Linked DNA regions of Callithrix jacchus. The protein of the gene in region 1 interacts with the protein of each later gene in a pairwise test. Links are inferred from orthologs where the notes say so. Each region holds a gene or a part of one and is shown in the gene's direction. Other genes may lie near its edges.

What was found.
Region 2: the proteins of PRKAR2B (region 1) and TAF12 interact in binary tests that used the Homo sapiens proteins (3 or more experiments, as listed by UniProt). The two-hybrid records come from large-scale screens. The link is inferred for Callithrix jacchus from reciprocal best matches to the Homo sapiens genes PRKAR2B and TAF12.

Annotation. Positions count from the first base shown.
Region 1 is NC_133512.1:77,494,301-77,499,979, forward strand, and holds the start of PRKAR2B (cAMP-dependent protein kinase type II-beta regulatory subunit), read left to right. Parts: upstream 1-2,500; 5' UTR 2,501-2,737; coding exon 2,738-3,044; intron 3,045-5,679. UniProt on the Homo sapiens protein: Regulatory subunit of the cAMP-dependent protein kinases involved in cAMP signaling in cells. Type II regulatory chains mediate membrane association by binding to anchoring proteins, including the MAP2 kinase.
Region 2 is NC_133508.1:65,288,919-65,293,853, reverse strand, and holds part of TAF12 (transcription initiation factor TFIID subunit 12), read left to right. Parts: intron 1-865; 5' UTR 866-878; coding exon 879-950; intron 951-2,756; coding exon 2,757-3,008; intron 3,009-4,935. UniProt on the Homo sapiens protein: The TFIID basal transcription factor complex plays a major role in the initiation of RNA polymerase II (Pol II)-dependent transcription.

The DNA of each region.
Region 1 (5,679 bases):
TTATCATGTTCTCATATTCTGTGGAACAAGACTTCAGCCAGGGCATCCAGCACCGCGCTGGCTTCTGTCATGTTGACTTGACTTCTATGACGCTCTGTATTGGTCAAAGAAATCACAAGCACATTCAGATTCAAGGGGAGGGGAAGACTTCAATTCATTACTGGATAGTGGCCATGCCACACTGTAGGAGATACTGTTGTAGTCATCTCTGAAAATGCAGTCTGCCACACCACAGGTGTGGCCATGTTGACTAAATTCTGGGTAAGAGGACAGAAGAGGAATTGGTGTGTTTACCTTCCTAGAAGTGTCCTTAAAGAGTATGTGTTTTGGGGAAGGGATGGGAGCTTCCCTTCTCATTTTCACTGTCCTCTTAGCTAAAATATGACTGGCTCTGGAGGAGCCATTTTGAACCACAAACAGGATCACAGAGCAATGAGCTGGAAGGAACGTGGGTCCCTAATGATCAAGGAGCACCATACCAACCCTGAACTGTGCACATTTACCTTCCAGAGAAGTACAATTCTATCTTAAGCTATTGCATTTTGCATTTTCTGCGACATGTGAGCAATGCTAATCATAATTAATACAAATATTATCACAAATGAAGACAAGTGATACACATGCATCTTAGGTTACCAGATCCATAAAAATAATAATGCTTACATGGTGGAAAGTAGTACTAACATTGTGCTCCAAGCAGTGACATGTGAGGCTCACCGTATTTTTTTTTTTTTGAGATGAAGTTTAGCTTTTGTTGCCCAGGCTGGAGTGCAATGCCCCGATCTCGGCTTACTGCAACCTCCACCTCCCGGATTCAAGCGATTCTCCTGCCTCAGCTGACCGGCTAAATTCATATTTTGAGTATAGACAGGGTTTCTCCATGTTGGTCAGGCTGGTCTCCAACTCCTGACCTCAGGTGATCTGCCCGCTTTGGCCTCCCAAAGTGCTGGGATTACAGGTTTGAGCCACCACTCTCACCATATTTTATAAAAGTTTAATTCTTAAAATGTTTGACACAGCCGGGCTCGATGGCTCAAGCCTGTAATCCCAGCACTTTGGGAGGCTGAGGCAGGTGGACCACGAGGTCAAGAGATCGAGACCAACCTGGTCAAAATGGTGAAACCCCCCCATCTCTACTAAAAATACAAAAAAAATTAGCTGGGCATGGTGGCGCGTGCCTGTAATCCCAGCTTCTCAGGAGGCTGAGGCAGGAGAATTGCCTGAACCCAGGAGGCGGAGGTTGTGGTGAGCCGAGATTGCGCTATTGCACTCCAGCCTGGGTAACAAGAGCGAAACTCCGTCTCAAAAAAAGAAAAAAAAAAAAAAAAGTTTGACCCAATTAGAAGTTCTTTATTACTATATATTTAAAAACAACATTATTACTATGAAGTTGATAAGAAATGAAAATAGAGAAATACAGTGGCTCATGGAGTGAATATAGGGTGCATCATTAACAAAAGGTTAACATCAAGATCCATTTTTACCAAAGGGCCTAGTTTGTTACAGCTCTGATTTCTAGTCCCCAGTCATGTGTTTACTCTTCCGTGGGTGGGAAGATAAATCTGAATAAGCAAGCGAGCTTGCTTTTAAACTATTTTATTTACAATGATATGGTAATTGTAAAAAATGAAGTATGCGTACTTAAATAATATTTAATTGACAAAAGTCAATTCTTTCTACTTCAAAATTGTAAACATTTGCAAAGTGAGCCTAATTTCAAAGTGAAAAACTTCTACTTTAAAAGCACACATTCGTCATTCTATTTTCCTTGATACCGAAGTGTTTCAATTTTTGGAGATGAAGTCAAAATCACTCAAAGTATAAAGTTTTAAAATAATCAGCGCCTCACCCAGCACTATCCTATTTGAAGGAGATCGACTAATTTCGATAGGTGCCTCACAATAAATGGTGCCTTTGTCTCAGTAAATAGTAAATGCATGGAGTGCACAACGAAATAGCATCAGTAAGGCAAAAAGATAATAAACAGGATGGGTGAGGAAAGGCTGGATAAAATGTGGTGGAAGAAAAAGAAAGACGTCACAAAGATGGGGTAGCATTTCTTTGTCCAAAAGAGAACCAGTACCACCATAAGCCTTCAAACAAAGGACATTAACAACACTTATCATGCAGCTAGATTCTAAAAGGAAAATAAAATGCCACTACTAAGGTGGAGGCTGAAGTTTCACGACAAATCGCTTGGCACCAGCTTTGCGTGGGAAGCGGGGCGAGTGGCTAGCAAGCTCCCGGACACGCGGACAGGTGGACACCGAGGCGGCCTCGCGAGGGCTCCCCTCCCAGCCCTCGGCGCGCCGCCCGCCAGCGCATTCCACCCTGGCGCGGTCAGAACCGCGGGTGCGCGGCGCCTGCCGGCGGAGGTTGCCATGGTTTCCGGGGGTCACGTGGGCGCGCTCTCCCGCGCCCCCTCCCGCGCGCCGCGGTGGGGCGGGGGCGGGGCGACCGGGCGGGGGAGAGGCGCGGTCGCGGCGGGACCGGGAGGAGCAGGAGATGCTGCCAGCCTTCCCGGGGCCGCGCTCGCTCAGCCGCCGCCGCCACACGGAGCAGCCGCGCGCCAGGAGCCGCGGGCCGGGCCAGCCGGGCCGCCGGGGCCCAGTGCGCCGCGCTCGCAGCCGGTAGCGCCGCCAGCGCCGTTGGTACTCGTTAGGCAGCCGCTGGGCCCCAGGCCGGGCCGGGGAGGGGGCGAGGGCGGCGCCCGGGCGCCTGCCGCCGGGGAAGCAGGATGAGCATCGAGATTCCGGCGGGACTGACGGAGCTGCTGCAGGGCTTCACGGTAGAGGTGCTGAGGCACCAGCCCGCGGACCTGCTAGAGTTCGCGCTGCAGCACTTCACGCGCCTGCAGCAGGAGAACGAGCGCAAAGGCACCGCGCGCTTCAGCCATGAGGGCAGGACCTGGGGGGACACGGGCGCCGCTGCCGGGGGCGGCACCCCCAGCAAGGGGGTCAACTTCGCCGAGGAGCCCATGCACTCCGACTCCGAGGACGGGGAGGAGGAGGAGGCGGCGCCCGCAGACGCAGGGGCGTTCAATGGTGAGGACCGGACCCTCTCCGCGCCCACGGACCCCCTCACTGTCCCCTACCGCTCCCCACTGTGCTCTCGGATCCTGCTGCTTTGCGCACCCACCTCTCCACGCATTCGCCACCTTTTCCTACCTTCCCATCTCGCCCACCCCCTCAGCATCCATTTCTGTCTCTCCCAGTCGCCCACCTTCCTACTCTGCTCCCTTGTCATACCCTCTTCCCTTCCTCTGGAGGTGGGAGAGCTGGGAGGTTACGCTTTCCTCTGCCCTTCTGCCCCCTCTGCCTGGGCCGGTTGGGGTGGGCATCTGCTAGAAAGACAACTTTCGCTGTGGTTGGAGGTATTTCGCTTGGAGGATACCATCATTGTGCATAAAGAAACTGGCCCACTTGGCGTCTTCTTTCAGCTCTTGTATTAATGGAATGTCAAAAGAGAAAAGGCGAACGGTGTTTAATGTGACTGGCTTTACTGTTAGGACGGTAGATCATTGAAAGAGGCTTGAAATTGGACTCACTGGGGCAGAACAAAATTTATGGCCAATAGCTCTGACATCCTTAGATAAGAGTTGTCTGTTATTTTCCAATTTACCAATACCATGTTGTGTTATTTTTGGACATGTAACAAAGGATCCTATTAGTCTGAAACCCACGGGGGTCTTTGGAACGAGGAAACAGGTTAATTGTTTGCTTTTTATATAAAGAACATATTGAATTATTTGGTGCTTTATTTTTTTTTAAAGCGTATGAGAAAAAAAACAGTGTAGGAAGTTCTGAAGCCTTGTTGATTGTCTTTAGAATGAAAAGCCAGTGAGTAATTGTAAGGACTGTGCCAGACAGTAGAGCTAGAAAGAATGAATGGGAAAGAAAAAGGAATTTTCTCAAATAGCTGCTCCTGGCAAGTCCCACCCCTTTTGCTTACAACCTTCTTTCCCTAACACACCCAGACACACACCCTCATTTACAGCCCCCCTGTATTTACACAACATGCCCAAATCCCATTTTTATGGCAACCCAAGCTAAAATACCATGGAGTGCAATGTGCAAGTGTTTTCTCTTTGTGGTGTAAGGCAAACATGCATGCACCATTGCACCAGCTTTTATTTATTTACACTGCTTGTGGTTTGTGTGTCCGCAGTGTATTTCATAAAATGAAAACCTTTAAAAGTGTCATTTCATTCCCTTGTGTATGCTCCTAGGAAGATGTTTCTTTTCTTTGCGGGATTGCATGTTGAAATGGTTTATAAAATTAAGGTGTTTTTAGCTTGTCTAAATCTCAGAAACCCTGGAAATTAATGTTGCATGAAGATAAAAGTGAAACTTGTTACTTACAATTTTAATTTTGGACTTTTAAATGTTTCCCCAAGGGGATAATCATAGTCTTAATTGTTTTTGCACAAGAATCAAATCAAATGATTTTCTTACCAGAAACAAGAGAAAGATGAAAGAATGCATGTTTTAAATAGATAGGAAATAGCAGCCAGTAACGGATTACAGAAAGGGCAGAGGTATCTAATACTTCTTTTATGCTCTGGATGCATGCACACATGTTCATGCACACACACCAAGGGGAAAAAAAAGACTCTTTTCCCAGAAGAAAACTAGGAACTAAGGGACTTGGTAAAGATCTTATATATATTCTGTATGATATGTTGTTAATATAATCAGACTCTTTTGTTTGTATAAGAAATTTGAAGTACTTTCCTTTGATGATTCCATTTTCTTATTAAAATAATATATTGTGCGCAGAAGAGATTTAATGTTCATTTTGTAGTGAAGAAATAAGCTGTTAACTTCTGAACAGCAGGGATCATTTTATAGTCTCCAAGCCACCTTTACTGTAAAAATTGCTCAATGTGACTTAAACAAGTTAACCTTGTTAAACAATTGCTCTATTTACTCCCCAGCCTCAGCCCCAAGGACTTTAAAACTTTTTGACTGCAAACAGATAGGATTTGATCATTATCCCTGTGGCACATATATGTGTACAACTGAAACTTTGGCAATAGTACGGGTACTCCTTATGTCAGATGCAGTGCTTTTTGATATTTCCTATTTGAATCAATTATTTCTATTTTAAATTGTGTTGAGACCTGACTTTGAAAAGCATTTAATTATAGGCTACAAAGTGGTTGGCAAGTCTTTCCTGTAAAGGTCGGATAGTAAATGTTATAGACTTTGTGGGCAATGTATGGTCTTGATCAACTACTAATACTTCTTCCTTTCTTCTTTCTTTTCTTTTTTTTTTTTTTCAAACACATACACTTTCTGAGGGTTGGAGTTGTACAAAACTAGCTGCAGATCAAGGCCATAGCTTGCCGACCTCTGGTCGGAAGAAAAAAAGTCAAAATAGTACCGTACCATTCGGGGGAAAAAACTGGAGTGAGCCCAAAGATTATGAGCCTGTTAGTTTGACGTCTATGTCCAGAAATGTGCCACATTGCAAAAAACCCCAGATAATGGGCAATTATGACATAGTAAAGAATAAGGATTGGAAAACAAGTCTTAATTTACTATGATACAATACAAGACCTGCTGGGTCAATAATTCTGAAATTTTCATAGGCATCTCAAGAAGTTTGATTCAGAAATGACCGTAACTCTGTACCATTTTCAGAGAGCTTTTTTGAATAGGTTGAGATGGGACATGG
Region 2 (4,935 bases), on another chromosome or scaffold:
GGCTATTGGCTAGTTTTTGTATTTTTAGTAGATACCAGGTGTCAACATGTTGTCCAGGTTGGTCTCAAACTCCTAACCTCAAGTGATTTGCTTGCCTTGACCTCCCGCAGAGCTGGGATTACAGGCGTGAGGCACTGGACCAGGCCAGATTTCTCATATTAGAAAGTCAGACAGTGTGTTGAGGAAGAACTCAGCACTAGGGAAAAGAGTAGAATAGATACAGATAGACATTTATGTTGCCAACAAAGCCATTGACATAACCTCTGCAGGTTCATATCCCACAATTTTGCCCAATAAAATAGTCCATATGCTGTTAGCTTTTCCCTGACAGCAGACATTCATTTCATAAGAAGATGGTCTAGGCTGGGTGCAGTGGCTCACACCTGTAATTTCAGCACTTTGAAGGCCAAGGTGGGTGGATTACGAGGTCAAGAGATTGAGACCATCCTGGTCAACATAGTGAAACCCCATATCTAATAAAAATACAAAAATTAGCTGGGCTTGGTGGTGTGTGCCTGTAGTCCCAGCTACTTGGGAGGCTGAGGCAGGAGAATTGCTTGATCCCAGGAGGTGGAGGTTGCAGTGAACTGAGAACGCGCCACTGTACTCCAGCCTGGTGACAGAGCGAGACTCTGTCTAAAAAAAAACGAAGATGGTCTATATATGCCATAATCATCATTAATTAATTTTCAAAGTTGCTTATAAAAGAGGTGGAGATGTTTATCTTGGCTTCCACTAAGGAAAAGGAGATATATTTTTCCACATCCAGTTTGCTTGGATCCTGGTTGGTAAAGAGGTACCAGGCCATGCAACTAAAATGATTCCATGGCAAGGATATTGCTTGATGCTAGTTGTTCATTTACAGGTAGCTTTTGAAAATGGCTGCCTCTCATTTCACCGGGCTCACAGCTGTTGCTGATGTAATTAAAGATCTAGACACTCAGATAGCTGTAAGTAGGTTTGAGGCTACTGTGGGCAAAACTTGGTGAATGTGCTTCTGATTGTCATGACCCCCAAGCTGACGTCCACAGAGTAAACCTCATGGCTCTAAGATTCAGGAGTCTCAGCTGCTTCAGGCTAGGGTGTCTGCATGTACTTAGATTGCTAACACTCCGAGAAAAATTGCTGTTGACAAAAAGGAGTTTACTTTTAACAACAGCTAAAATTTATGTTTTTGGGGCATACCCCCGACATAAACTTAAGCATGTTTGAAATGCCAAAATGAACTAGTCTGTATTGTTAAGCTTTGTGACTGATTTTTTTAAAGGATGTGATTGTGCCATGACTTATTTGAATTTAACATTATTTGATACTTTAAAAATAATGCATGTAGTACTTAACTATTTTTACAAAGTTCTCAAAAATGTCTTGCTTATTCTAGTTTATTTTTATTTTATTTTATTTTATTTCATTTTATTTTTAGACAATGTCTCACTCTGTCACCTAGGCTGGAGTGCAGTGGTGGTATGATCACAGCTCATTGCAGCCTCAGCTTCTTGGATTCAGGCAATCCTCCTCCCTTAGCCTCCCGAGTAGCTAGGACTACATGCTAAGTGAGTCCAGTTAAGTGGGATTTTTTTTTTTTTTGAGATGGAGTTTCACTCTTGTTGCCTAGGCTGGAGTGCAATTGTGCAATCTCAGTTCAACGCACCCTCTGCCTTCCAAGTTCAAGCAGTTCTCCTGACTCAGCCTCTCAAGTAGCTGGGATTACACATGCCACCATACCTGGCTAATTTTGTATTTTTAGTAGAGACAGGTTTTCTTCATGTTGGCCAGGCTGGTCTTGAACTCCCAGCCTCAGGTGATCTGCCTGCCTGGGCCTCCCAAAGTGCTGGGATTATAGGTGTGAGCCACCATGCCCGGCCCCTAAATGGTTTTTTGTTTGGTTTGTTTGTTTGTTTGCTGAGACAGAGTCTCATTCTGTTGCCCACGCTGGAATACAGTGGCATGATCTTGGCTTACTGCAAGCTCTGTCTCCCATGTTCAAATGATTCTCCTGCCTCAGCCTTCCCAGTAGCTGGGAGGGATTACAGGAGTGTGCCACCATGCCCAGCCAATTTTTTTGTATTTTTGGTAGAGATAGGGTTTCACCATGTTGGTCAGGCTCATCTCGAACTCCTGACCTCAGTTAATCCACCCGCTTTGGTCTCCCAAGGTGCTGGGATAATAGGCGTGAGCCACCACGCCCAGCCCCAGCTAAGTTTTTGCAGATAGGGCTTCCCTATGTTGCCCAGGCTATTCTGTAACTCCTGGACTCAAGTGATCCACTACAGGCACCCAAAATGCTGGGATTACAATGAGCTACTGCACCCAACCCTAGTTTATTTTTGTACGTAAGATTCCTTATTTCATTTACTTTCTTCCTTGTTTCAATTTTGTGGTCAATTTTATTTAACATTTAGAGAAGAGATGGTTTCTAAATGTCAGGTGAAAGCAAAAACCATTCTTCATTCCCTCAATTTTTAACATGTAGGTATTAAATGGTCACCATTCCATATATACTGAAGAACTCTCAAAGTCTAACAGACCTGATTTTACTTGCTTTTTTTTTTTTTTTTTTTTTTGGTAGAGATGAGGTCTCACTATGTTGCCCAGGCTGGTCTTGAACTACTGGCCTCAAGTGATCTGCCCACCTGGCCCTCCCAAAGTGCTGGGATTACAGTTGTGAACCATTGCACCAGGCCTCTTTTTACTCTCAAGACTCATTCTTTATTACAGGTTCTTCTAGAACTAATTCTTATGCTTTTCTTCTTCAGTTAATTGGCCTTGGTCCTCACAGCTCCAAAAAGAAACAGGATCTCGATAAGCTCTATGAGCTGAAGTCCAAAGCTCGGCAGATTATGAACCAGTTTGGCCCCTCAGCCCTAATCAACCTCTCCAATTTCTCATCCATAAAACCGGAACCAGCCAGCACCCCTCCACAAGGCTCCATGGCCAATAGTACTACAGTGGTAAAGATACCAGGCACTCCTGGGACAGGAGGTCGTCTTAGCCCTGAAAACAATCAGGTATCATCCTCTTACTCTTTCTTCCCTGTAGCCACCTCTCACCTGTTATTTCAACCTGTAATACTTAAGAGATGTCCATCTTATATGCTGCCTTTTTCTCTTAGCCGAAAAGGTCTTTTCCGTCTTACGGATTTCTAAGTTTTTTGTTTGTTTGTTTTTTTTAAGGCTAGTCATGTTTGTTTGTTTTAATGTAAGTAGAGACTATATTTGGGCCAAATTTGAGGACCCCAACTCAGGAGACACAGATTCAGTTTGCCCTGAATATATGATCCTCTAACATTCTTTAGCAAATTATCATGTACAGTGTTTATCAAGTTTTACTGTGTTGTATATTGTTGTGTGTATGCATGTATCCATCCATCCATGCCTGTGGTAGGTTTTTTCTTTCATTTTGATAGGTGTTTTATATATATGTTAACTATATAGTTGTTAAATAAAATAATTAATTCATTTTTCCTATGATGGAAATACTCTTGGTTCTAGCCATTCCACCTTCTAGTTCATCCAATTCCTGCCATTATTAATTTTCTGCAGTGATTCTAAAATCTGCTCCCTTCTTTCTACCCATAATTCTGATTTTGCCTCCAGAGCCACAAGAAATAAGTATAATCTCTTTGAATTGGGTTTTGTAGGCTGTGAAGAAAAAAATGAATGAGTTGGCCCAGTATTTCAAGGGAATGAGTGAAGGAACTGGCAAAGGTTAATGAGGGATGGTTGGGCAGACAATCAGGAGATCAGTCTCTTTTGAATATGGAGTCTGTTATAGAAGACAGAATTTAAAATTGTATAGGTAGCGAGGCGTGGTGGCTCAAGCTTGTAATCCCAGCACTTTGGGAGGCCGAGGCGGGCGGATCACCTGAGGTTGTGTGTTCTAACCAACATGAAGATCAAGACTATCCTGGCCAACATGGTGAAACTCCATCTCTACTAAAAATACAAAATTACCTGGGCGTGGTGGCTCATGCCTGTATTCCCAGCTACTTGGGAAGCTGAGGCAGGAAAATTGCTTCAGCCTGGGAGGTGGAGGTTGCCATGAGCTGAGATCGCAACATTGCACTTCGGCCTGGGCAGCAAGAGAGAAATTCCACCTCAAAAAAAAAATATTGTCTAGGTAGGGTTATGGCAGAACATAGTGACCCTGTACTAGTAAGTTTCCATTGGAACTTTCAGGTAATATACAATCTTTGCAGATATTTAATAAAGAAGTAAAAGTATGTAATAAAAATAGTGTATTCTATAGAGTAGTAACTTGGCAGTAAGGGGACAGGATGGGTAGAAAAGGGGGTTAGACTGGGTGGATGACCAATTCTAAGACTTTTTCAATAAATCAAGACATGTAGTGAAGGCTTGAATTAGGTGATTAGGATAGAATGAAGAAGAATAGATAGATATGAGACATCATTAACTTTTATTTATTTTTTAGAGAAAGGGTTTTGCTCTGTTGCCCAGGCTAGAGTGCAATGGTATAATCATAGCTCACTATAGCCTCAAATTTCTGGGTTCAAGCAATCTTCCCACCTCAGTCTCCTGAGTAGCTAGAACCATAGGCATGCACCATCATGCTTGGTTAATTTTTTTTTTTTTTTTTGGAGAGACAAGGTCTTGCTGTGTTGCCCAGGCTGGCCTCAAGTGATCTTCCCTCCTCTGCCTCCCAAAGTGCTGGGATTACAGATGTGAGCCACCATGCCCAGCTGAATATTCATTTTAGAAAATTATTTTCAGCCGGGCATGGTGGCTTATGCCTGTAATCCCAGCACTTTGGGAGGCCAAGTGGGCGGATCACCTGAGGTTGGGAGTTTGAGACCAGCCTGTCCAACATGGAGAAACCCTGTCTCTATTAAAACTACAAAATTGGCCAGGTGTGGTGGCACATGCCTATAATCCTAGCTACACAGGAGGCTGAGGCAAGAGAATCACTTGAACCCAG